2 linked regions of the Tamandua tetradactyla genome follow. The protein of the gene in region 1 purifies or fractionates together with the protein of each later gene. This does not show direct contact. Links are inferred from orthologs where the notes say so. Each region holds a gene or a part of one and is shown in the gene's direction. Other genes may lie near its edges.

Evidence for each region.
Region 2: the proteins of NCBP2 (region 1) and KPNA3 purify together in Homo sapiens (co-immunoprecipitation; 3 studies listed by BioGRID and IntAct, with this or other methods). This does not show direct contact. The link is inferred for Tamandua tetradactyla from reciprocal best matches to the Homo sapiens genes NCBP2 and KPNA3.

Annotation. Positions count from the first base shown.
Region 1 is NC_135336.1:16,603,880-16,614,769, forward strand, and holds the start of NCBP2 (nuclear cap-binding protein subunit 2), read left to right. Parts: upstream 1-5,844; 5' UTR 5,845-5,918; coding exon 5,919-5,996; intron 5,997-10,120; coding exon 10,121-10,302; intron 10,303-10,890. Other genes in the region: protein NCBP2AS2, read right to left, coding at 5,391-5,690. UniProt on the Homo sapiens protein: Component of the cap-binding complex (CBC), which binds co-transcriptionally to the 5' cap of pre-mRNAs and is involved in various processes such as pre-mRNA splicing, translation regulation, nonsense-mediated mRNA decay, RNA-mediated gene silencing (RNAi) by microRNAs (miRNAs) and mRNA export.
Region 2 is NC_135330.1:108,181,115-108,192,541, forward strand, and holds the start of KPNA3 (importin subunit alpha-4), read left to right. Parts: upstream 1-5,980; 5' UTR 5,981-6,044; coding exon 6,045-6,113; intron 6,114-11,427. UniProt on the Homo sapiens protein: Functions in nuclear protein import as an adapter protein for nuclear receptor KPNB1. Binds specifically and directly to substrates containing either a simple or bipartite NLS motif.

The DNA of each region.
Region 1 (10,890 bases):
GGTGGTCCATGCACCTATGCTCCCAAGTGTGCCCACACACTACACACTCCTCTTCGCCCACACCTACATGCCCCCCCGGCACCTCCTACGCCTCCCAGGTCTGGGGTCACCTGTGGAGGTGGTGGACATGGGTGGGCCTGAGGACTGGATCCTGTGCCAAGCCCTGAACAACGTCACCACACAGTCAGTCTGCCATGCAGCAAGTGGACCATGGATCTGCCGCCTCTTCGTGGTGACCCCTGGCACCATCAGGCCTGCTGTGGAGAGGTGCGGCTTCCCCCTCAAGAATGAGACACTCATGTTTCCCCACTTAACCCTGGAGGACCCACCAGCCCTGTCTTCCTTGCTGAATGGGACTTGGAGGGATCTCCTCAGCCTTCATATCATGGAGCTAGGTGAGAAGCCTGGACAAATGGTGGAGCAGTCACTGCCCAAAGTTCAGCCAGAATCTACCACTCCACCTTGTAGGTAGGTAGTGGTGGTAGGTCAGGGACCGGGTTCTCATCCTTTCTTTTCTCTTTCAGAATTCTCACTCTGCCTCTCCTGGGCACAGCTGCTGGCTGCTCTGCCTTCTGGGTAAATGGGTACCTTTTACTTCAGAGACCAAAGATATGACCAGTCATGTTCTGATGCCAAGGTCTCCAAAGAATCCTGGCATAATCAGTGGTACCTAATGTCTGTTCCTGCCCTATTTCATTCAGCCACTGTGATGGTTTAAATATATCAAAATACCTGAATGTGAAGAGATGAACTGCTAATTAGATTCCTGAATGATCTCTCCCACACCTTCCATCACCTCTTGCTGCCATGATAACTTGTTGGCTTCTCAGGTGCCTAGAAATCAGTGAGGTAGAGACAGCATGTGACTCAGATTTAGGAGACCTGAGTTTTAGTCCTGGTCTTCTACTTAATGGCTGTGTGATTTTAAGAAAAACCCTATCTCTTCACCTAATCTGCTCTCCAAGTGTACATGGATTGGAGAGCCTCTGCGGTGTCTTGCCAGCTAAAACCGAGTCATTCCTGGGGTTTACAGTCCCCTAACTGGGCAGTAAAACTCTTTAAGCATGAAAGTTGGGAGTGTTTTTGTATTTTGTGACACTTTGATGCCTGCTGTCTCAGCGTTTGGTTATATCCAAAACAAGTAATTTTCTGTCTTTTCTCCCCACTCTCTTCTACTACTGTTCCTGACAGAGGAGGTGGGAAACTCTGGACATTTCTGTGCCTTGCCCCTTGAGAATCATTTTCCCAGATTAGGTGCCCAGATGTTCTCCCTCCTCAGTATTGCTGTCTGTTTAGGCCCTCTGCCTGCTGCGGGAGCAGAAAACCTGTAGGGCTCATTCAGTATCTGACAGCACTTGAGGACAACTTGGCGCTCCCAGAGGTCTTTCTTCTTATATGTGGTCTGTCACTCTCCGAATTCAGAGGCTAGAGAGCAAACTCCATGACAAACCAACATCACTAGGCAGGTTTCTCCCCACAACAGAGGGTACCCTCCACCCTGGCTACTGGGAGCTTGAGAAGCTGTGGTCATGCCTAAGACTGTTTTCATTCTCCTTCCTCATGCTCCTACCATCCCAAATGAAAACAAGAGGCACCCAAGTCACAGGGAAGATGAGCGACCTGGAGATTAGCACAGACAGGAAACCAAACCTTTGAAAAAGACCAAACCTGAGTACTTTTCAAGTTCTGCATTCTGGCCAAAGCCTTAGTCACCTTAGAGCAACACCCACTGCAGGCATGCTGCTCTATGGCTGCTGCTCTAGCGTCACCTCTTCCTTCAGACTCAGCACCACTGAGGAAGAGGAAAGTCTGATGTGCTGGCAGATGCTTAACAACTAACTCTTTTTTTTGGAGTGTGACTGTGGGGACCCTGATTTGGAGCATTTGCTAATTTCCATGGTGTAAATATTTTCTCCACAGTCAATTCAAGCTACCAATATGATACCATTGAACTAAGAGTTGGGACAAAATGTCAACAGTCTGATCTCATGAGCCAGTATGAGTTGGCTGTAGTACAACACAAGATATTTCCCTCCTTGGAATTTTATTATACCCATCATGACACTTCATTGTTCTCGTGCTTTGCTTTTCTGATTTGTCTTCATACCTCTATTGCTTATCATCCCATCTGGCATTGATGACCACTTGTCTATTTTGCAGCCAAAGATGGCTTTCTGCCCTATGGCTATTAAATCACGTGTCACCTTGAAGACACTCCAGATCCTGGGACTCCAAACTGTCCTCTGGGATTCTTGGCACTTTTGCCTGTCCCTTCCCCTGCAATTGGGTTCACACCCTCAGAATTCCCTGGAGGAATTGTTCTTGTGGCAGTCCATGTAGATTGTATATCTGTCTGTAAAGTGTTGGTATTTCTCCAGCATCAAGTGATGAGTCTTAATTGGTCTGTGGTATAGTGGGTGAGCTGCTTCCCTCCATCTTTCGTCAGGACTTAGAAGAGCTTGGAAAGGGATGCTGGGAAGAATTTGGTCTGTTTCTTCATCAATAAGGTAATGGTGGAATGACAGGCTACTGACTATAAACATGGGAGGCTGCCCCTCCAATGAAGCTAGATGGGAATGAAATCACCTCTTGCTAGAGCAGAAAAGATGGACCCAGTTTTCTCTATCTGAAAAAAAAATAGAAGGAAATTAGTTCTTATACAAGTTCTTCCAGGGAAAATAAAGAACTGCCCCCTTTTCTTTCCTTTCTTACCAAATAGCCAATCTGCATCTGGAAGCTTCATTACTTCCTTACTGCTTCTCCTTTTGTGCGCTTGTTTATATTGGGGGTAAGGGGTTGGGCTGGGGACTGCTAATAGTCTGCTGTTCTGATATCCAGAGACCAAAGAGATAGAGGCAGCAGGCAGGGCAAGTTTCTCAGGCTCCCCACTGCCAGGGGGCGTCACCTCTAGTCCTGAAGAGGGAGCTTTGATAGCAACTTTGATAGGAGGAGGTCAAACCAGGACTTTGGTCATTAGGAGAGTGGGGCGTCTGGCATCAGAGAGGATGTAATAGCCCTTCTGATAGAAAGGCAGGAGGGTGGGATGCCAAATCAGAATACGCCATTGGGAAAGTGGAGAACAAGAGTAGATAGAACAATTCTATTTGTAACTGAAAAGATATATTCCTTTCAAGTATGGATGGAGCAGGACCTAGAATACCTTCTTTGACCTTCTCAGGTCAAAGCAAACAGGGCCAATTTAGACACAATTTTAACCTTCTCCTCTCCTGCTTTTGACTGTAAACTCTTCAGTCACCATTATCCTCCAAAAAGCCAATACCCTAAGGATCCTTCGGGCATATCCACTTTAAGTGACTTACTGGGTGGAGAGTTGTTCTCCTTTTTTTCTGGTGTATTTTCAATTTATGCTTCATTTTTTCAGTGGGACGTTTACTAGTTTAGTTAATGCTCTTTTGATTGTAACTAACCTGAAAAAGGAAAATCTGTTATAAGGATACTGTGTTATATCCTAAAATCTAGAGTCACACAACTAAGACTTGATAAGGGCAGAATCAGGATCCCTTGGCAGTAGGTAATTCAGGGCTTTCTTTTTAGTTAGTCACTAACATGGCTACCAATAATTCGTTGTCTTGAATATGAATTCCTAGGAGTCTGCATCTGATTGCAAACCTCAAACCAATCCCCTATCGCCAGAGAAGAGAAAATTGTTGAAAATACACCTTGTAGGCAAGCCAGGATATGCTCAGCCAGCCACTCCGGTAGGTATCCAGGGCAGAATGGAAAGCTTTGTCACTTGTGAAAGCTTTCAGGTTTCAAACACATCTGGCAGTATTATTTGAAGAGCATCTTTTTATGCCTCTCAAAGTAATCACTGGGTCTATTCCCAGAGAGGACCTGATACAGGTTTAGGAGGGGATCTGTAAGAGGAGGATCAACTGATGGTGTCAGTGGTGGCAGCCCATGACTCATCTTCTTAATAATGGAGATAATGAAGGTGGCAAGAAGGATCCTACTCTTAGAAAGAGCTGCTAAAATGATACTGATACAGAAACCTATAAAAGTAAAAAGCAGGACTGTCTGCATGAAAGCAATACTAATTACAATACATAGCTGGATAGCCTTTATATCCAAAAACCGTGTAGCACCAGGACTGGAACCTCTACTTCATTTGTAAAAGACAAAGCAAGGCCAAAGCTAAGGTAGTAAAAATGGTAGCCAATGGCTATTTTGTTACATGTGAAGTAATAAATGTTTTTGTCAATACTCTAGAAATCAGATTTTTCCTACAAAACATAATTTCCAGCTTCTGAAAAACCATACGATCCAGCACTACCACAACCCCACCCAACAAAACCCAGCTGGCACTGAGAAGCCAATACCCACCCTGGATGGGTTAGAGACTCTCCACTTGGTAACACTGCCCTCCCCATTTATTGCTTGTACTCCAGGGTCATGAGTTTGAAATTCCCAGGGTAGACTCTTCATGACTGAGAGAAAAGCTTAGGTATTAAATTCTGTGTGGCCACCAGCCTAAAAGCCTTTCCTGTGCCTTCAAGCTTTCTCGATTACACGATTAATGAAGTAGCCTAATAAGTGATTACCAGAAATTCAGCTAGAAGCCCCAAAGACAGGGTACTTCTGTATACAATTGATTTCTTAATCATAGGCCCATTAGCTGGAACAGTCCTAGTCTGTATCCCTTACTCTCTAAAATGGGGGAGTAAGAACCCAGGCAGCTTGTTCCAGGGGCTGGTGCTGATGGGTATAGGCAAGCATTGAGGGTCAGGGTAAGGGCAAAGAAACTATAATTAAGGACTGAGGCCCTGGAGACAAGTGCCTGTGTTCACAAACCACTCTGTAAGATGTTTGGCAACTTACAAGTAGCCTCCATTTCCTTACATGTTCAGATGCACTTAGCAAGTTACCAACAAAGCAAGCACTCAATATGTGTTTACTATTACCACGGACCTACAGCCCCCAGGATTCCTAATCCATCCTGCCTGAGAAGTATCACACTCAGGCCCATTCATCAGCTCACACATTTAATCAGGGTATTTTGGCAGCTGCAGGGTTGTCTTTCCGTCAGTAATCTTCTTTGGAAGAGTGCCGGGCTGTACCAGTGTAGATGCAGCAGCATCTATCAAGAATTTCGGTCTCATCTGCAGAGAGCAGGATCTCTTTCAGGCTGTGGCTCTCTGTATGTCTTGTATCTGGGCCTGGCCTATCTTTACCCGTCGGGCTTCGGCGTCTTTCCCCATATTGTATCGGTCCGATCAAAGGGTTTCAACACGCTTGTCGGTTTGGTCTGGGCCTTCCCATGAGTGGGACCCTGTAGTCAGATTTCGGGGCCGTGCGCAGTGCTTCAATGTCGAGGTTGATGTAGAGCCCAGAAGGGAAAGTAGGTGATCTCGACTCGGCCAAGCCCGGGCTTAGGGTTCTGAGCCCGGGCCTCTTTGGCTACCTGGTGGTGACCCCGGGCGGTCCCGAAGGCCGCGGCGCAGTTCCTGGGTGAAGGTGTCTTTGAAGCGGGCAGCACGGCAGCCCAGGGAGTTCGCGGGCCCAGCCTTGAGGCCCCGGAGGCGGCGGACTGCGTCCTGACCGCGCAGCTGGGCCTGCAACAGTGCGAAAGCCGTGAGTTGCGCCGCACGCCGGATGGGCCGCGACTCGGACAGACGCTCCACCAGTTGCGAGCTGTTCAGCAAGGAAACCAGTAGCCGCCGAAGAACCATCCTACCCGGAGCGCCCCGGAACCCGGAGCACACAGCGCACGCTTTCTCATCGGCGACTCCCAACAAGGACCGCGTCCTGCATCGGCGCAACCTGATGACGACACTGACGCGCTTGGATTGGGCCTGGGATTTCCGCTTTCTGCATCCACCATACGCATTTCCGGTTCCGGCTCCGCCTCGGCCACCTTGTTCCCGGCGTCGCAGCGTCCTTATTCACCTCCGTGCACTATGTCTAGCGGATTTCTGAAGGCGCTGCGCAGCGACTCCTACGTGGAGTTGAGCCAATACCGGGACCAGCACTTCCGGGTAAGGGAGGCCGGGCCACGAGAGGGAGGACCCTGGGCCAGTACTCTGAGAAACGATTTGCCCTGTCTCGTTGTTGTGTCTTCCACCCTGATGCTGTCCCTCATATTGAAGTAAGGCCATAGTGCGGCCTGGGGAGACAGGAAATGGATTCGGTAGGGCGTTTGGTTATCACTGAAGCTATTTCCTCTCATAGAAAGGGAGTTCGAGGCTCGCTTTCTCAGTTCTGCATTTGCTCCTTGTACGCGGAGACGCCTTCCTGACCCAGATATCGGGGCTTTTCTTTTTTCTTAATCTAGATTACCGAAACAATGCCCTTTGGCATTTTGGGTCCTTTCCTTTGTCTAGTAGGAAGGTCTTACAGTGTTCTCAGTGGTGGGAGATAAAACTTGAACCCTGCGGCATCCCCCACCACATGGAGTTGTCCGTGTAAAGAGATGGACCAGCCTAGCTAGGCACGTTGAGGATGTCTGGGTGTCAAGATCAGAGAACTGCTGATTTGCGGGAGGGACATTTTATATTGGGCAGTGTCAGAGAAGATTTTTGTGGAAAAGGAGAGCCTGCAGTATTTATTCATGCTGGACTTTTCGTTATCAACAAAGGACATGTGTAAGGCGGTGGTAGTGGTGGGGTGGATTTACCAATCCAGTTATCTAGTAAACATTTAGCTTTTAGCTAAGCCCTAGGGGGAGGGGGGAGACAGTTACCTCACCCTAAGAGCTCTCAACCATCTAGTAGTGATTGTAAAGGTCAGCAGTTTTTAATGTTTACTGTGTGCCAGCATGATTTCCATTTCCACCACTTTTACAGTTCTCATTATTTTACAAAGTTTCACATCATAAGTATCTTGAATTTAAACCATCCTGCAAGATTAAAACTGAAAGTATTCGACTTTTGCTATTACTCATCTCTACAGTCTAAAGCCTGTTGCTTTGATTGGATAGTAGTACAGTACTGCCAGGTGGAATTTCGAGTGTTCCCTGAATGGAATACACACTAATATACCTTAAGTAAATACTTACACCACTGTTGTCTTAAGCCATAGGCCATTAGTTTGACATTACTTACATGTGAGAACAGCAGAAAAAAGGAAATGCCTCCTTACTGTAATTTTTAACATATAACAGTAATATAAAGTGATTTTACTTTTCCTAATGTTTTATTTCAAAGTTCTGAAAACCTGTTTTTAACATAGAATGATTTTTGTACGGATTTTTTATCACATAACTGTGTATTCATCACCATGATCGTTTTAGAACATTTGCATCACTCCAGAAAATGAAATAAAAAGAAAAAGCTCATACATTCCTCCTCCCTCTTATTGACCACTAGTATTTCAGTATGCCCAACTTTTTATTTTACCCTTTACCCCCCTCCATTATTTATTCATTCTTTGTCCGTATTTTTTTTACTCACCTGTCCATACCCTGGATAAATCACACAGTCACATTGTAAAAACTATATAGTTATACAATTGTTTTCAGGAATCAAGGCTACTGGAACACAGTATCTACTAGATAATGCATAAGAATAACCTTCAGGGTAACCTCTCGACTCTGAAATCTCTCAGCCGTTGAAACTTTATTTTGTCTCATTCCTCTCTTCCCCCTTTTGGTCAAGAAGGCTCTCTCAATCCTATGGTGCTGAGTGCCGGCTCATCCCAGGAGTTCTGTGGGCTTTTAAGGGTAGTATGGGATTGAGGTAAGAGTGGGTTTGAATTCCAGCTACAACTACTGAGTAGCTGTTGAACCTTGGACAAGTTACTTAATTGTGTTTTTCCTCTTATGTAAAATGAGTATGATAAATTAGGACCTTCTTCATACAGTTCTGAGAACTGAATGATTTAACATATACATAAAATCTCTGCTTCTCCCAGATTCAGACATAGTTACCAGTTTCTTGTGTGTGATACTTGTGTATATTCAGACTTAATAAGTTGGAACATACTGTTTTCATTGATTTTCTTTTTTCGCTTTGCACTTTTCACTTTTTCACTTTGCACTTCATCTTGGAAATGTTCCATATTGCATGAGGCTGTGCATTTTTCTAGGGGATACATATTTGATGTGCCATATTTATTTAACTTTTTTATTGTATAACATTTATACAAAACAAAGAAAGAAAAAAGCAATAGTTTTCAAAGCACTCTTCAAACAAGTAGTTACAGGACACATCCCAGAGTTTGTCATGAGTTGCCATACCATTATCTCAGATTTTTCATTCTAACTGCTCCAGAACATAGGAGACTAGAAGGAATAAATATTTTATCATCACAATCAACTTTTTTTGTGTGAAAAATATATATATACAAAAAAGTAATAAATTTCAAAGCACAGCATAATTAGTTGTAGAATAGATTTCAGAGTTTAGTATGGGTTACAATTCCACAGCTGCTTCAAGATACTGGAGATTAAAAAGAAATAATCAGTGATTCAGAAATCATTTGTTGTTAAACCCTACCTTCTCTGTATAACTCCACCATCACCTTTAATCTTTCTATCCCACTCATTAGGGGTATTTGGGCTATGGCTATTATAACTTTTTCATGTTGGAAGAGATTATTAATAATATAGGGTAGGGAGATGGAACTATCTGATGTTCTGGAGAGGCTGGGCCCTCTAGGTTTCAGGACTTATCTGGTCCTGCGACCCATCTGGATTGTAGTTTTCTGGAAAGTTACCCCCAGTGTGGAATCTTTGTAGAATCTTATATATTGCCCCAAGTGTTCTTTAGGATTGGTTGGAATGGTTTTGGTTGGGGTTTGGCAAGTTATGATAGGTAGCAATGTCTAATTGAAGCTTACCTAAGAGTGACCACAGAGTAGCCTCTCGACTGTATTTGAACTCTCTCAGCCACTGATACTTTTATTAGTTATACGTCTTTTCCCCCTTTTGGTCAGGATGGAATTGTTGATCCCACAGTGCCAGGGCCAGACTCATCCCTGGGAGTCATCTCCCATGCCACCAGGGAGACTTTGACCCTCGATGTCATGTCCCACGTAGCAGGGAGGGCAGTGATTTCACTTGCAGAGTCGGGCTTAGGGAAAGCGAGGCCTGATGTGCCATAATTTATTTAATCAGTTTTCTTTTGATGTGAGTTTATATGATTTACCTGTTTCTCTGTCACTGAATGTGATCATGAGATCTATTACTCTGAATGCTCCTACAAAGCATTCAGAAACAAATAACGCAAGGTCATATTTTCAGAATGGAAGAACTGGGCAGCCTTACTTAGGGAGTAGTAAATGAAGAAAGAAGGGCTCTGAAGAAAGAGCTCTGTGGGGAATTGATAATGGGTCCACTCAGCTTATGCTTTGTAAGCAGTAATACCACCATTAGGTTTAAGAAGTCACCTTAAATCCACACAGTAGTATGGTTGATGTTAAAGCCCTATCTGGATCAGAAGGGCCTGAGAGTAGGTCAGCTGGTGAGGTTCTTATTTAATCAGCATTTGTCCTTCTTAATGTAGAGGGTAGAAAAGGAAGTCCAGGAACTGCCACACTGGTTTCTGTAAAGATACCTAAATTGCCATGAGTAGCCCTGTTGTCCTCAGGAATTGTCAGGTATTTTTGCTGAAACCAAGTTATAGTCCTGTCTCTGGCTTCATTTTGGCTCCTAAATTAGGAAGCCCAGAAAGTGACATCTCTTGATTTTAGTGATTACTGTATTTTCTTCTAAGCTCAGAAAATTATTTGAGCATGTGATCATCTAAGCAGTTGCTGCTTTGTGCATTTCTAAGAGCATTATAAGGAGAACCCTATCTCTAGAAAGTCGTTTATTTTTTGCTGCAGAGGATAAGAGAGCGTTTTCTCACATATTGGCTCAAGATTTGGATTTTAAGCTTGGCAATACAGTGTAGTGGAAGGCAGGTTGCTTGTGGCCTTGACGCGCTACTAAAAGCTGCCTGGACCTTCCATAAGCACTATGTAGAGTGTGAACCCTCTTCTTTTTTTGCAAGGGATTTGTGCAGTGGGATGAAGAGAGAAGCTAATTCCCCAATCAGAATTAATGAAAAGTTTTCATATTTAATGAAAATTTAATGAAAAATAAGAAATAATGAAAAATTGGAATATTATTTAAACAGGGCCCTTTGTAAATTGTATTGCTTACCTTTTTCTCAATTCTTAGGGTGACAATGAAGAACAAGAGAAGTTACTGAAGAAAAGCTGTACATTGTATGTTGGAAATCTTTCCTTCTACACAACTGAAGAACAAATCTATGAACTTTTCAGCAAAAGTGGTGACATAAAGAAAATCATTATGGGCCTAGATAAAATGAAAAAAACAGCTTGTGGATTCTGTTTTGTAGAGTATCCTTCCTGTGTCTCTAATGTAGCTGCTGAACCAGAGTGTAGCAACTCCACAGAGTTAAGAATGATTGTTGCCTGTTTAAATAAGTGAGAATCTGAACTTATTATCCTGCACATCTCTCCCTCTCCTTCCCTCATGTACTTCCTGCCTTCTATCTGATGTGTGTACATGCTTATGATGTCAAATCTGGTGACATTTATTCTCTGTTTTGTAATGAAATCTGTGTTTTGTTTATAATTGATTCTTTAAGAAAAACAATCTTTTGAGTATATGTCCATGGTTTTAAAAAAAAAGTCCAAAGGGTGTAGTGAAAATACTGTCTTTTCATAGCACTACAAACCTCTAACTTCCTGCCCTGGTTACCAGTCTCTGGGTGTCTGGCCGGAAGCAATATGGATGTGTGGTAGCATACTCCGTGTCACCCTTTTTTTCTCACTTACCTCAGAAGTTCTGAGTTAGTACATATAGGTCTACTGTTTTTTAAATGGCTATATAGTATTTCATTTTGTAGATGTAGTATATTGATTGATTTTATACATCGAAACCATGCTTGTGATCCTTTTCATTCTCTTTTTTTAAGTATTAGA
Region 2 (11,427 bases), on another chromosome or scaffold:
AGACTCACGGGGCCTTGGAATCAGAGCCCTGTTCTCCTCCTGCCCCAGAGAGGGATAGAGAGAATCATTCTAACCATGCAGTGTTCTCAGGTGGATTGGAGATGCTGTGTCTAGATGTTTAGCACAGTAGGTATTCAGTGAATGAAAACTCTCACTGGTTTAGACCAGTACCACCGAAGTTTATGCGTGTACTCCTGGGTAGCTGGGCTGAAGAATTCAAATGCTGCTACCTTCACTTTTCTGTATTTGCTTTTGCTTCAGGGGCTCTTAGGGACTGTGAAATAGAAAAGGCGATCATGAGGGAATCCGTTCGTTCATTTACTCAGTAATTCATTTATTCATTCAGCATACCTGCACTGAGATCCAGTTATTCTAGGCTGGGGAGCACAGATTTGAACAAGCCTTTTGAAGCATTTACAGATGTGCTGATTTGAATCTGTTTGCACCGCGGAAAAGACCATGTTCTTTTGATCCATCCCTGTGGGAGCAGACCTGTCGTGAGTGGAATTTTTTGCTTACATTGTTTCCGTGGAGCCCATTCAAGGTGGGTCTTCATCCCCTTGCTGAAAGAGGATTTTATGGAAGGATAAAAGGCAGAGACATTTTGGAGAGAGCTCAGGGAAAGAAAACGTCCCAGGAGAAGTAAGAAGGAACCACAGAAATTGAGAAAGCCATTTGAAACCATAATCCAGGAGAAAAGGACCAATAGATGTCGCAATGTGCCTTCTCACATTACAGAGGAAACCCAGACACCAGCAGCCTTTCCTCAGAGAAGGTATCTCCCTCCTGATGCCTTAATTTGGACATTTTCATGGCCTTAAACTGTACATTTGTAATCTAATAAATCTCCTCTGTAAAAGCCAATCCATTTCTCATATCTTGTATTCTGGCAGCTTTAGCAAACTGAAACAACAGGTGGGTGGGAAAGATTAGATTCTGCACAGATTGCACCAATACAAAGTAATAGGTAAAGTTCTGAGGTTCAGAGAAAAAATATGCACTCTTGGTTGGAAAGATAGCAAAAGTTAATATTAAGATAACAATTTCACATATATTTCATAATTTGATTTTCACAAAAACCCCAGCAATTCAGAATCCTCATTTGTAGATAAGAGAGTTCAGGGAAGAAAAATGAGTTGTCTAAGCTTGTTCATGTGGAAATCAGTCCTAGGCCCTTAGTTTTCAGATTTGAAAGGTCCCTCCACTGTGCCAAGCTGGGAAAGTTTCATGGACTTGGGATGGGTATTTAAAGAAGGGTTGATTTTGACAGGCAAAGATAGGGGCGGGGCTTTCTAAGCAAATCAAAACATCAAGGTTGGTGGGGAGTGGTGCACAGGGGGTTCGGTGGTAGAATGCTCACCTTCCCTGCGGGAGACCTGAGTTCAATTCCCAGTCCATGCATCTTCCTCCCCACCCCCAAAAAACCATCAAAGATGGGAAGTTGGAAAGGCAAAAACATGTTTGGAAAAGGGTGAATCAAACCTGTTGGGTAAAGCATGAGCTTTGTGTAGGAAAACCAGAAATAAGAGAAGTGTTCAATGCTGGGGCCAGGTCACTTATGACCTTAATCACCAGACTGAGTTTAGAAATGATTTAACAGTGGTGGAGGAAGAGGGATGTCTGGGTCAGATCATGGTGAAAAGTCAGGAAAATCAGGAGAAGGGATTTGAGTCATTGTGGAGAGAACAGATGGTTTGGTTTCCTTAGTTGCTCAAGCAAATACCATGCAATGGGTTGGCTTAAAGCATGGGAATTTATTGGCTCACTGTTTTGAGGCTAGGAGAAGTTCAAATCAAGGCATCAGCAAAGTGATCTTTCTTCCCAGAGGCTGGTGTTCTGAGCCTGGCTGCTAGCAATCCTCAGTCCTGGGCTCCTCTGTCATGTCACATGGTAAGGCACATGGTGGCCTCTTCTGGTCTCTCCCATCTCTTCCAGATTCCATTGAATTTCAGCTTTGTGCCTTTTGTGGCTTTCTCTCTCTCTCTGTCTGACTTTCATTCTGCTTATGAAGGACCCCAGTAATAGGATTAAGACCCATCCTGCTTGAGGTGGACCACACCTTAACCAAAGGAACTTCATCAAAAGGTCCTGCTTACAATGGGTTCCTACTCACAGGAGTGGATTAAGTTTAAGAACATGTTTTTCTGGAGCACCTACAGTGCCAAACCACCAGAATGGAGAGGCATAATGGCAGTCTTGTGGGTGGCACTGAAGGATTAAGAAAACACTGAAGGATGAATTAACATGGTAGCAGGGTGAGAGAGCCAAGGGAAGAGCAGGAAGCAAAAACGGCTCTTGGCTTTGAGCAAGGAGGCCTTGGGGGAACGGCTATATCATCATAGAGCCAGAGAATTTACAAAGAGAAGCTGATTTGAGGGGAAAATGATGCGTTCCCTTTTGGATCTGTTGGGTTTGCATTGCCTGCTGTGTATCGCCACCTAGCAAGATTCCCAATGCTTTGGGAATGATGGATGATGAAACAGAGGATGAAGGAGGGTTTGGCTGATCCCCTGGCTTTGGGCCCTTTCTTTCTACCTCTGTTCTGGTACCCCCCGCCCCCAGACCCTGTTTCCCTGATGAAGACAATGCTTGGTGGGTGGTGAGCACTCAACATATATTTGGAAAATAAGTCTATTTAAAAGAAGAGTTACCAGGAGAAATTTCAGGGCAAGGGTCAAGACTACAGTGAAGCCAAAAGTAGCAGGTAGGTGCTAGCCATGAGAAACACCAAATTTGAGTTGCTGGAGGTGGTCATTTCCTGGAGATTAAGAACTCCAAGGCCTGATAGGTTATAAGTGATAGAAACCCAGTGAAGTTAAGATGTGAAGAGAATCTAGGACTGGAATTCCTGAGTTGTGGATGTTGAAATCACCAGGGGATAATGGCAAGAAGTGACTAAGTTAGACCTGGGCAAGAGGGGTCCCAGCTTTGGAAACTAACTTTGAGAGGATCTCAACTCACTTCTGGTGTATCCACCACCCCCCTCCATGAGGAAAGGGGTCCATGGGGCCAAAGGATCTTATTCACTGGAACCTGAACCTTTGGACCAATTTCTGAGTACCAGTGCCCTGGGGTTCCCTGCTCAAATCACTCCAAGCCTGTTCCCAGGGTCTTTCCAAGTGTTTTCTCTGGGTCTGTCTTCCAAGGGAGACATCATGCCACCTCTGCTTGTGCATCTAGGCCTAACCCTCTTGAGGCAGGTAGAAGGATGGAGACAGAGCTTTGGGGATGAGTAGGCAGGACTTGAACATTATGGGTCATTACAGTGTGGCACAGAATCAGGACAGGGAAGAGAAGGGGGACAAACAGCAAGATGTGGGTGGGGCCCCAACCCTCCTTGAGAAGCCACCTTCTGAAGCAGAAGTTGGGGAAATTAAGACATTTAAATTTGAACTCAGACTCTAAGGTTGTTGAAGAGGTGCATTTGTTAATGCAAGAGGCTAGAATATATTTTATTTAAGTTTTTCAGCTTGATTTATAACTTCTAAATATTTATACCTATGAATTGTAGACCTCCACTTACACTTTTGCTCTGAGAGCCTCAAAAGTTTGGAATGGACAGGTTATAAAAGTCTCCCTGTAGAGGGCTTTGAGCTTCCTTACCCTTTCTTAACTTCCACCCCATTTTCTGAGTGATTATTTATTTTGTTGTGATGTCTCCTGGAACCAGGTTGTCCTGTTTACAAGAGGATCTTAATGCTAGTACCAAGGCTGACATACACAGTAAGTGATCACCAAATATGTCTAAAACTCCAAAATGAGTCAAGAAAGGTTTATACATTTGAAGGCAGCAGGTAGGATGAAGGGAGGTGGTAGAAGGGGATAAAAGAATACCTTGCTTAATTATAACAGGGATTCAGCAACAGTATAGAATTTTCTCTCCTTCCCCTCCCAGATAATCTGGGAAAGTGACACATATGCCACCTCTATATCTTTATGAACGAGAGTTGAAGAAATCTGTTCATTTTAAGTCCTAGTTTTTTGTTAGTGATGTTTTTTTCTTTCAAAAGGGTTAGGGACCAGGAGTGGCAGACTGAAAGCCTGGAGTTCCTAAGTGTTACGATTTGCTAAAGCTGCTGGAATACAATATATCATAAATGGACTGGCTTTTGCAAAGGAAATGTATTAAATTACAAATTTACAGTTCTAAGGCTATGAAAATGCCCAAATTAAGGCATCCTGAGAATGATACCTTGACTCTGAAGAAGGCCGATGGTATCCAGGGTTCCTCTTGCACCTGGGAAGTCACATGGTGATGTCTACTGGCCCTTCTCTCTAGAATGTCTCTGAGCTTCTGTGTGTGTTTGCTTGTTCCTCCTGGGGCATTTCTGTTTCTGAGCCCTTTCCAAAATATCTCTGCCTTTTATCTTTTCATAAAGGACTCCAGTAAAGATGATTAAGACCAACCTTTGAATAAGGTGGGTCACATCTCCATGGAAACAACCTAATTGAAAGTTTCCACTCAGGAGAATAGATTAGAAGAACATGGCTTTTCTGGGGAATATAACAGTTTCAAAGCAGAATACTGACTGGATATCCAAGTACATTAAAAAAAAAAAGTGTCATTTAAAAATAAAGGAAAAAAAATCCAGCTTTGTTACTCTTTTGAAAAATTAGACCCTCAGGCAACACTGGGCTACAAGGGTCTGGAGCCTTTAAATAGTCCTGTGTTTACCAACTGGCCACCTGCCACTCAGAAAACAAATGCCCCTGGACATAGCCTGACCAGTTCCATTGGATTTCCTGCCTGGCCATTGAATGCCTCTGAGTTTGTGACCTTGGGACCTCTGGCTCTTTTAGGCCCCTTAAAAGTCTGTTCTTTGAGTAATCTCATCATGGTTATCTTTCTAGCAATCTTTGAAGGACATCAGTTCATTTGAACTACATGTACAATAACATTTTTTTGCCTGTTTATATCCACCAGAGTCTGAAACTGAATTTCACAAATAATTAAACGAAGCCCACCTGCCCCAGAAAACAGTTCTGAGTGTTCTGAGGCAAATCCCCCTGGATTCTTCCTCTGAAGAGCCTAAGAAGAGATGCTAACTGGAGAGCCCGCGGAGTAGGGCCTCTGAGACTGAGATTGTGCGTGGTGGCTGACCAGGAGTCAGGGACACACACGTACAGGGGCTGCCACAGAGGGGATGGAGGTGGCAGCACGGGGATTGGGAGGAGGCTGAAGAAATCCGGAGGTGCTGAAGCGCCATCGTTTGTCCAGTAGCTATGAAATGTCAACCAAAGTGCCTGCTCTCCCCGAGCTTAATTCCGGTGCTGTAAGTCAGGTAACACAGACGTAAACACACATATCACGTTCACACCCACGCACAGGTCAGGTGGAAATAAATGTTCTTTTCCCAGCCCAAAGCAGAGCCCGGGAACAGCGGGTGAGGGTGGTGGTACTCTTGCAGGAGGAGTCCGGAGAAGCGAGGGAGCAAGGCACAAGCGGAGCTCCTTTCTCATTTCCCCAGGAAGCCCCGCCCCCTCCGTCGCAGGAGGGCGCAAGGTGCAGCTCCGGGAAGCACCGCCCCCTTCCCCGCCCACAGGAGGCCCTGGGGCTGGGTCTCGCGCCCAGGCGCGCGCAGGGCTCCCGGCATTCCCCTCGTTCTCCCAAGGGCGCGAGGAATCTCCCCCGGCCGAAGCTTGGCATGCCGGGAACTGTAGTCTCCGGCCGGCTCTCGCGCACGCGGGCGAGTAAAAGCCACCAAACCCGGCTCCATTTCTGGTGTATGACTTGCAGCCCGAGGGGTGCTGGGGAGGCTTTGCTAGGGGGCGGAGGTCACCCCCAGAACCAGGCTGGGCACCGCCCCCGGTCACGTGCCCGCCCCCTCCCCTTCCCGGGCACGCCCCGCCCCTCAGCGCCGTCACCCCCCCCCCGCGCCCCGCCCCGCCTGTCCATCGGTCCGCTCCCCCGGCGCTGCTGCCACCTCGCGCCCAGCGGCGTCGCGGAACGCGCGCCCCCGCCCCGCCCGCGGTCCCCCCCTCCGCGCCGAGACTCGCCGCCGCCGCCGCCGCAGGAGGAGCCGCCGCCGGAGTCGCGCGCAGCCATGGCCGAGAACCCCGGCTTGGAGAACCACCGCATCAAGAGCTTCAAGAACAAGGGCCGCGATGTGGAGGTGAGCGCGCTTTGGCGGCCAGGCAGGCACCGGGCGGGGCGGTCAGCGGGGAGGCCCGGGCTGCAGCCGCCCTCCGCGAGTCGCCGGCGTGGTGGGCCCCGTCACGCGGGCGCGGCCTGGTGTCGGCGAGGGAGGGCCGCGGGGCCGAGGCGGGGGCCGCGCAGGCAGGGGTGCTGCCCCCGGGCAGTGCAGCTTCCAGCTTGCCGGCGCTGGGGACCGAGGCGCGGCCCGTTCCCGCGCCTCCCGCGGGCGAGCCGGGCCCAAGGCTGGTGGTGGCGGTCCGCAGAGGGGGTGGGGACCAGCCGGGGAACTGACGGGTTTGAGGATGGTGGGTGGGGGAGGGTAGGATGCGCCAGGACCATTTTCTTGTATTTCAGGGTTGTCCTTTGGGTCAGGCGTGCTGAGCTCTTCCAGCTCCCGCTCCTGCTTCTGCTGGCATTTGGGGCAAGGTGAAGATGGTCAGTAGTTTACCATCTATTGTGTGGAGGCTTTGGAGGAAAGGTTGTTCCGACCTCCGCTAACAGGACCCGTTTTCTTAGCCTTTCTTGGAGTGGGGTTTGCAAAGGTGGATGCTTTCTTCGAAGGGTTTTACGGAAATAAAATTGGATGCTCGGGTTCGTTCGGCCTTATGTATCTCTTGCTCCAAGCAGGTAGGATTTCCTAAGTGGTTGCAAAACTGTAAACATTCATCGTGGTCACTGAGTTCGTTGCTACTCAGCATGTTGCCATTGTCTCGTTAAGGTGACATTAGCAGGTACTATTTGCAAACTAGGCTTATCCAGGCAGCGCTAGAGGTCTCTCTGCAGCTACCCAAAGCAATGTAGTATAATGTACAAACTTCACTGGGACTCTGACCTCTGGGTTGGTGAGGGGGGAAATGGTTTTAAGGCCACAGCCTCCTTTCCTAATACTAGGTGGCACCATGTCCAGTTTTGTAATTCTTATCAAGAGGCTATTGTGATTAAGAAGGGTGCGTTTTATCCTCTTTTAAAGGTGGTAAAGAAAAAAAAAAGCCGTTCCACATTCTGTTTGTAGAAAACAGATGAAACTCCAGCCATTTTTTCAAAGCTACAAAATTAAACTAACTGGAAAAAATCTAGGGACTTATCTGTGGAATTTCCATTTGAATGAGAAGTAAAGGTCGTCTGTCCCTGTCCTGGTCATGATTAAATTTCCTTTGTGAGAAATATGTCTAAGTAAAAGTGAAATTTGGAAATAGCAACAAGCAGTTGCCTCCTCCTGTTGGTTCACTTGATGACAGGAGTTAATTTTGAACTTTTTCTATCCCTGGTTTTTTTCATGTGCCTTCCCCCTATTATAAAGCAAAACTTAGATTGTTTGAAAAATACCTATACTGTTTGTACAGAAAAACTAACAGCATCCTTTTTTTCTCTTGACTATTGGTACAGGTTTTGTCTTATTGTTTCTTTTGTTGGGTTCTAGGGGCTCAGTGATACCCAGCTAGGACTCCTGCCCATAACAGGTCCACAACAAATATTTGCTCATGATCAGAAGGTAGCCAGTGATTTTTAGATGTGTGATTGCCTGGTCTTTCAAACTGAAAATACTGCTCACAACAACACGACATTTTCCAGGATACATAGGATAACTAAGGATGTAATGTTAGTCATTCAAATGTGATGGTTCTCTGTGGCAAGCACTGTACTAAGAGCTTCATGATGCCTCATTTAATTCTATAGCAACTTTAAGAGCCAGGGGTTGCATTGTCCCCGCTTTATGCAAGGAAGATACAGTAGGTGAGGAACCCAGGTGCACATGGAGCCTACCCAGGGTTCACTAGTAGGTCTCAGCAGTCAGGCACTGATTGTCTGTTGGGGATCTAACTGTGTGCCCAGCCAGCATGGTTCCAGGTCTTGGGGAGACAAATGGGGAGGAATTCAGCCTGAACCTTCCAGGAGTTTACAGTACAGTGGGGCTGATTGAATAGTAAAGTGGTGATTATAATGCAGTATGTCAGTAAGTATGCTGATATAGGTACAATGAGAATGCGCGAGAAGGACCTGACTAGGAGCTGGGGGTCAGAGGAGCTGTTCCAGTTGATTCCTAATGCATGAATGGGATTGAGCCAATAATGAAGGCTCAAAGAAAGTTGGCCAGGCAGAGGGCAGGATGAGGGGGAGGGGAAAGAAGGGGTACTCCACACTTAGTGTTTGAGGAGTCCTGAGAAAAATGTAGCCTGCTGAGGCTTGGAGAAAGAAGAGAGTGCTAGAGATGTGGTTAAAAGGCAGATTGGGCTCAAGTCTGACTAAGTACCTTTGTGGATTTAGGCATAAATAAAACCAGACACACCATATCTAATTTAGTTGTATCCATTAGAAACTGTATTACATTAGAAATGTATTCTACCACTTAGCTCTGTGACTAACTAGTTGTGGTTATCAGGCTTTTCCAAAACTGTGAGGTGCACTTTAATGAGATATCATTCCTCCTTTTTCACATACAGGATGGACAACGATCCAACATGTTATAAGCAGCTGTTACACAAATAAGATGCTAGGTGCAAGAATTAAATGAATATTTCTAAAGAAGATGGAAGTGTAGAATTGTGCTGGGGGTTGTAAGTGGGGAGAGAGTGGAGGAGTAAAATTATTTCATATTCATTCAAGAATGACTTTATAGAAGAAAGATTTTAAGAGATCCTTGGAGAGAGAACGCAGTTTGTGAATCACTAGGAAGTATATACCAAACTTGAAAGAGGCCTATGAGAAGTTTGTTAATAAATATCCAGGTGAAAAAGGAGAGACCAGGTAGTGAACAGTTAAGAGACTTGCAGTTGGTCTGTGGTGGGCTGAGAATATGCCTTCCAGAAAAGAGTTGCTTGGAAGCTTTTTCTTGAAAGAGAGATCTGAATGAATTTATTCCAGAGCAGAGTTAGAAATTATAATGTGATTAGAGCCATGGTAAAGCGTGTATGACAGTAAAATCTAGAATTACTTCTGGAGGACTAGTGTTATCCAGTCTGAAAGGAGGAATTTTCCAAAAATTCAAGATTGGAAATGGCTGCAGCCTGGAATGAGTTTTGAATTTTCTCCTCCTCCTCCCTCTATCATCTTCCTCCTCTTTCTCTTCCTTCTTTCTTAAAATTTGGTTGTGTTTAAGGATAAAACTCACAGAGGAGAACGGATAAAGGTTATCTTAAAGTTTCTAGGTTGAGTAGTTATCACCAATAGCAGTTTGGTGCCTGGATAGGGAAATGATTTTTGTAGCTAAAACTAGGAAATGCGTAGTGAAAAGGAAACTCTTATTTGGTCTGGAATGTGTGTTTCAGTATCAGACCTTTTTATGTAAGGCAATGATTCTGGTCCTTTTTTCCTTTAAAAAAATATTTTGAAATTTCCAAATATACTTATAGGAAAGTACACAAAATAGACTTGCTCTGTTTTATGAATACTTAGAAGGCAAGCATGCAGGTAACTGCCACCCAGGTCAACTTTTCTGTTGTTTGTTCCTGTATATTTCAAGGATGTGACAACATTTTTACCAGTAACAGTAACTAATAATAATCATTTCTAAAATCTTTGCATTTATTGAGGATTTACAATGTATCAGCACTTAAGTAGTTTGTAGGGGTTATTTATTTAATCTTCATAACAACTCTATGAGGAAGGGATATTGTTTTCCCTATTTGCTGCTGAGGAAATTTGAGACCTTTAACTCTTAAGTAACTAGCACTAAGGCATAGTGTTAAATGGCAGAACTGAACTTAAATTGAAACAGAATGATATTAAAGCCAGAGCTTTTGGTCACTGTCTCCACTGAGTGGAGCCCAAGACTTGTATGAAGCATGCCTGAAAGTTATTTAATAGGGGAAAATAGGAAACCTTGAGTGTATCACAGAAATTCCTAATTCAGTACTTTAAAACCCTGCCAATATGGGATTGAAAAAAATTTTTTACTTTCTCATTTTAGTTATTTACCCTTTTTATTCTTGTATAGTTTCTTTCTTACTATCAAGGAGCCAGTTGGTTGGTCTTGCTTAAAAAAGATAAACCAAATCCTTGGGCTTAACACTTCAAACTTTATGCTTTAGTTTCTAACACTGGGCATAATATGTATTTTCTCACTTGGAAACTCCACTAGCATCCCCAACTTGATTTTTTCCCTATGTAAGCACTACAGTTAAGTACAGCCTGATTGTCATAAAACTTTCTCTTGGACTCCCTTTTCTTACCTCCCTTCATCCCTCTGTATTGGTTCATCACCTGAAGATTTGTACCTTTCTCATCAGCCTTACTCCCTGTTCTTGGCCCTTATTCTCACTGGATCAACTGTAATGGTAGCCTACTTGGTTTTCCTGTCTCCATTATCTTCCCTGCCAATATATGTTGTGGATTGATCTTTCTTAAATAGGAATCTTTTCATGTTACTTTCGTGTTTAAGATTCTTTGCCTTCAGGATAAAATTAAAAAGTCTTTAGGACGTCACTTAAGAGTGCCACATAAGGACCTACCTTTTCTACCTCTTTTGCCACTTTTCCTTTTATTTCCTTTCTGCTGGCCTTGATAAAGTGCTTGAGATGGTGGAGTGACCAGTCTCGTTTCATCTCTGTGCCTTCGTACATGCTGTTCTCCTATATAATTTCTTTGGCTGTCTGTTAAATGGGACTCACTTTGACAGACTCTTTTTTCCCTCACACTCCTTCATATATCTCTGGAACACCCATGTTTACAGTTCTGCCACACCATGTGATTTTAGTTCAAAATGCTTCAAAAGGTCTTCTCCAAAAGGCCTTTCTTGATTGGTACTAACATGCTTGGTACTCTCAGTCCCAATTCTTTTCCTCTTCTCCCTCTAATGCTCTCTCCTAAGTGAATTTTCCTTCAGTCATTTGGAATGGACAGCAGATTCTATGTGAGTAAGTTATTATGGTATGTGAACCCTGTCAGGTGGCCCCTGAGGGTGGGGTCCGTGGGCTGTGACTGGTCATTTAGTGACCAGTACGTAAAATTCAGTAAATGCTCTTTGAGAAGAGAGACTAGATAGTGTACCCGAAACCACTACATTTTGGGAATGAAGGATGTAGTATACTGAATGATTTCTTTGGTGATGACACCATGGCATTGATACTGTTGCCTGGCCCTCCTTGAGGGTCTCTTCTGTAACGGTGCATTTCTGGAACATGAACTACCTCATACTTGAATAGTAAGTAGAGGGATGATGTTAGTCAATGCGAAATTCATGTTGGTTATTACTTGATTTTTACCCACACCTTTGAAGCACAAAGTCTAGAAGCACAGCAAGCCCAGGAATGCCCACACATCACCCATTTACCCCAGATTCCGCCTCTTGACTC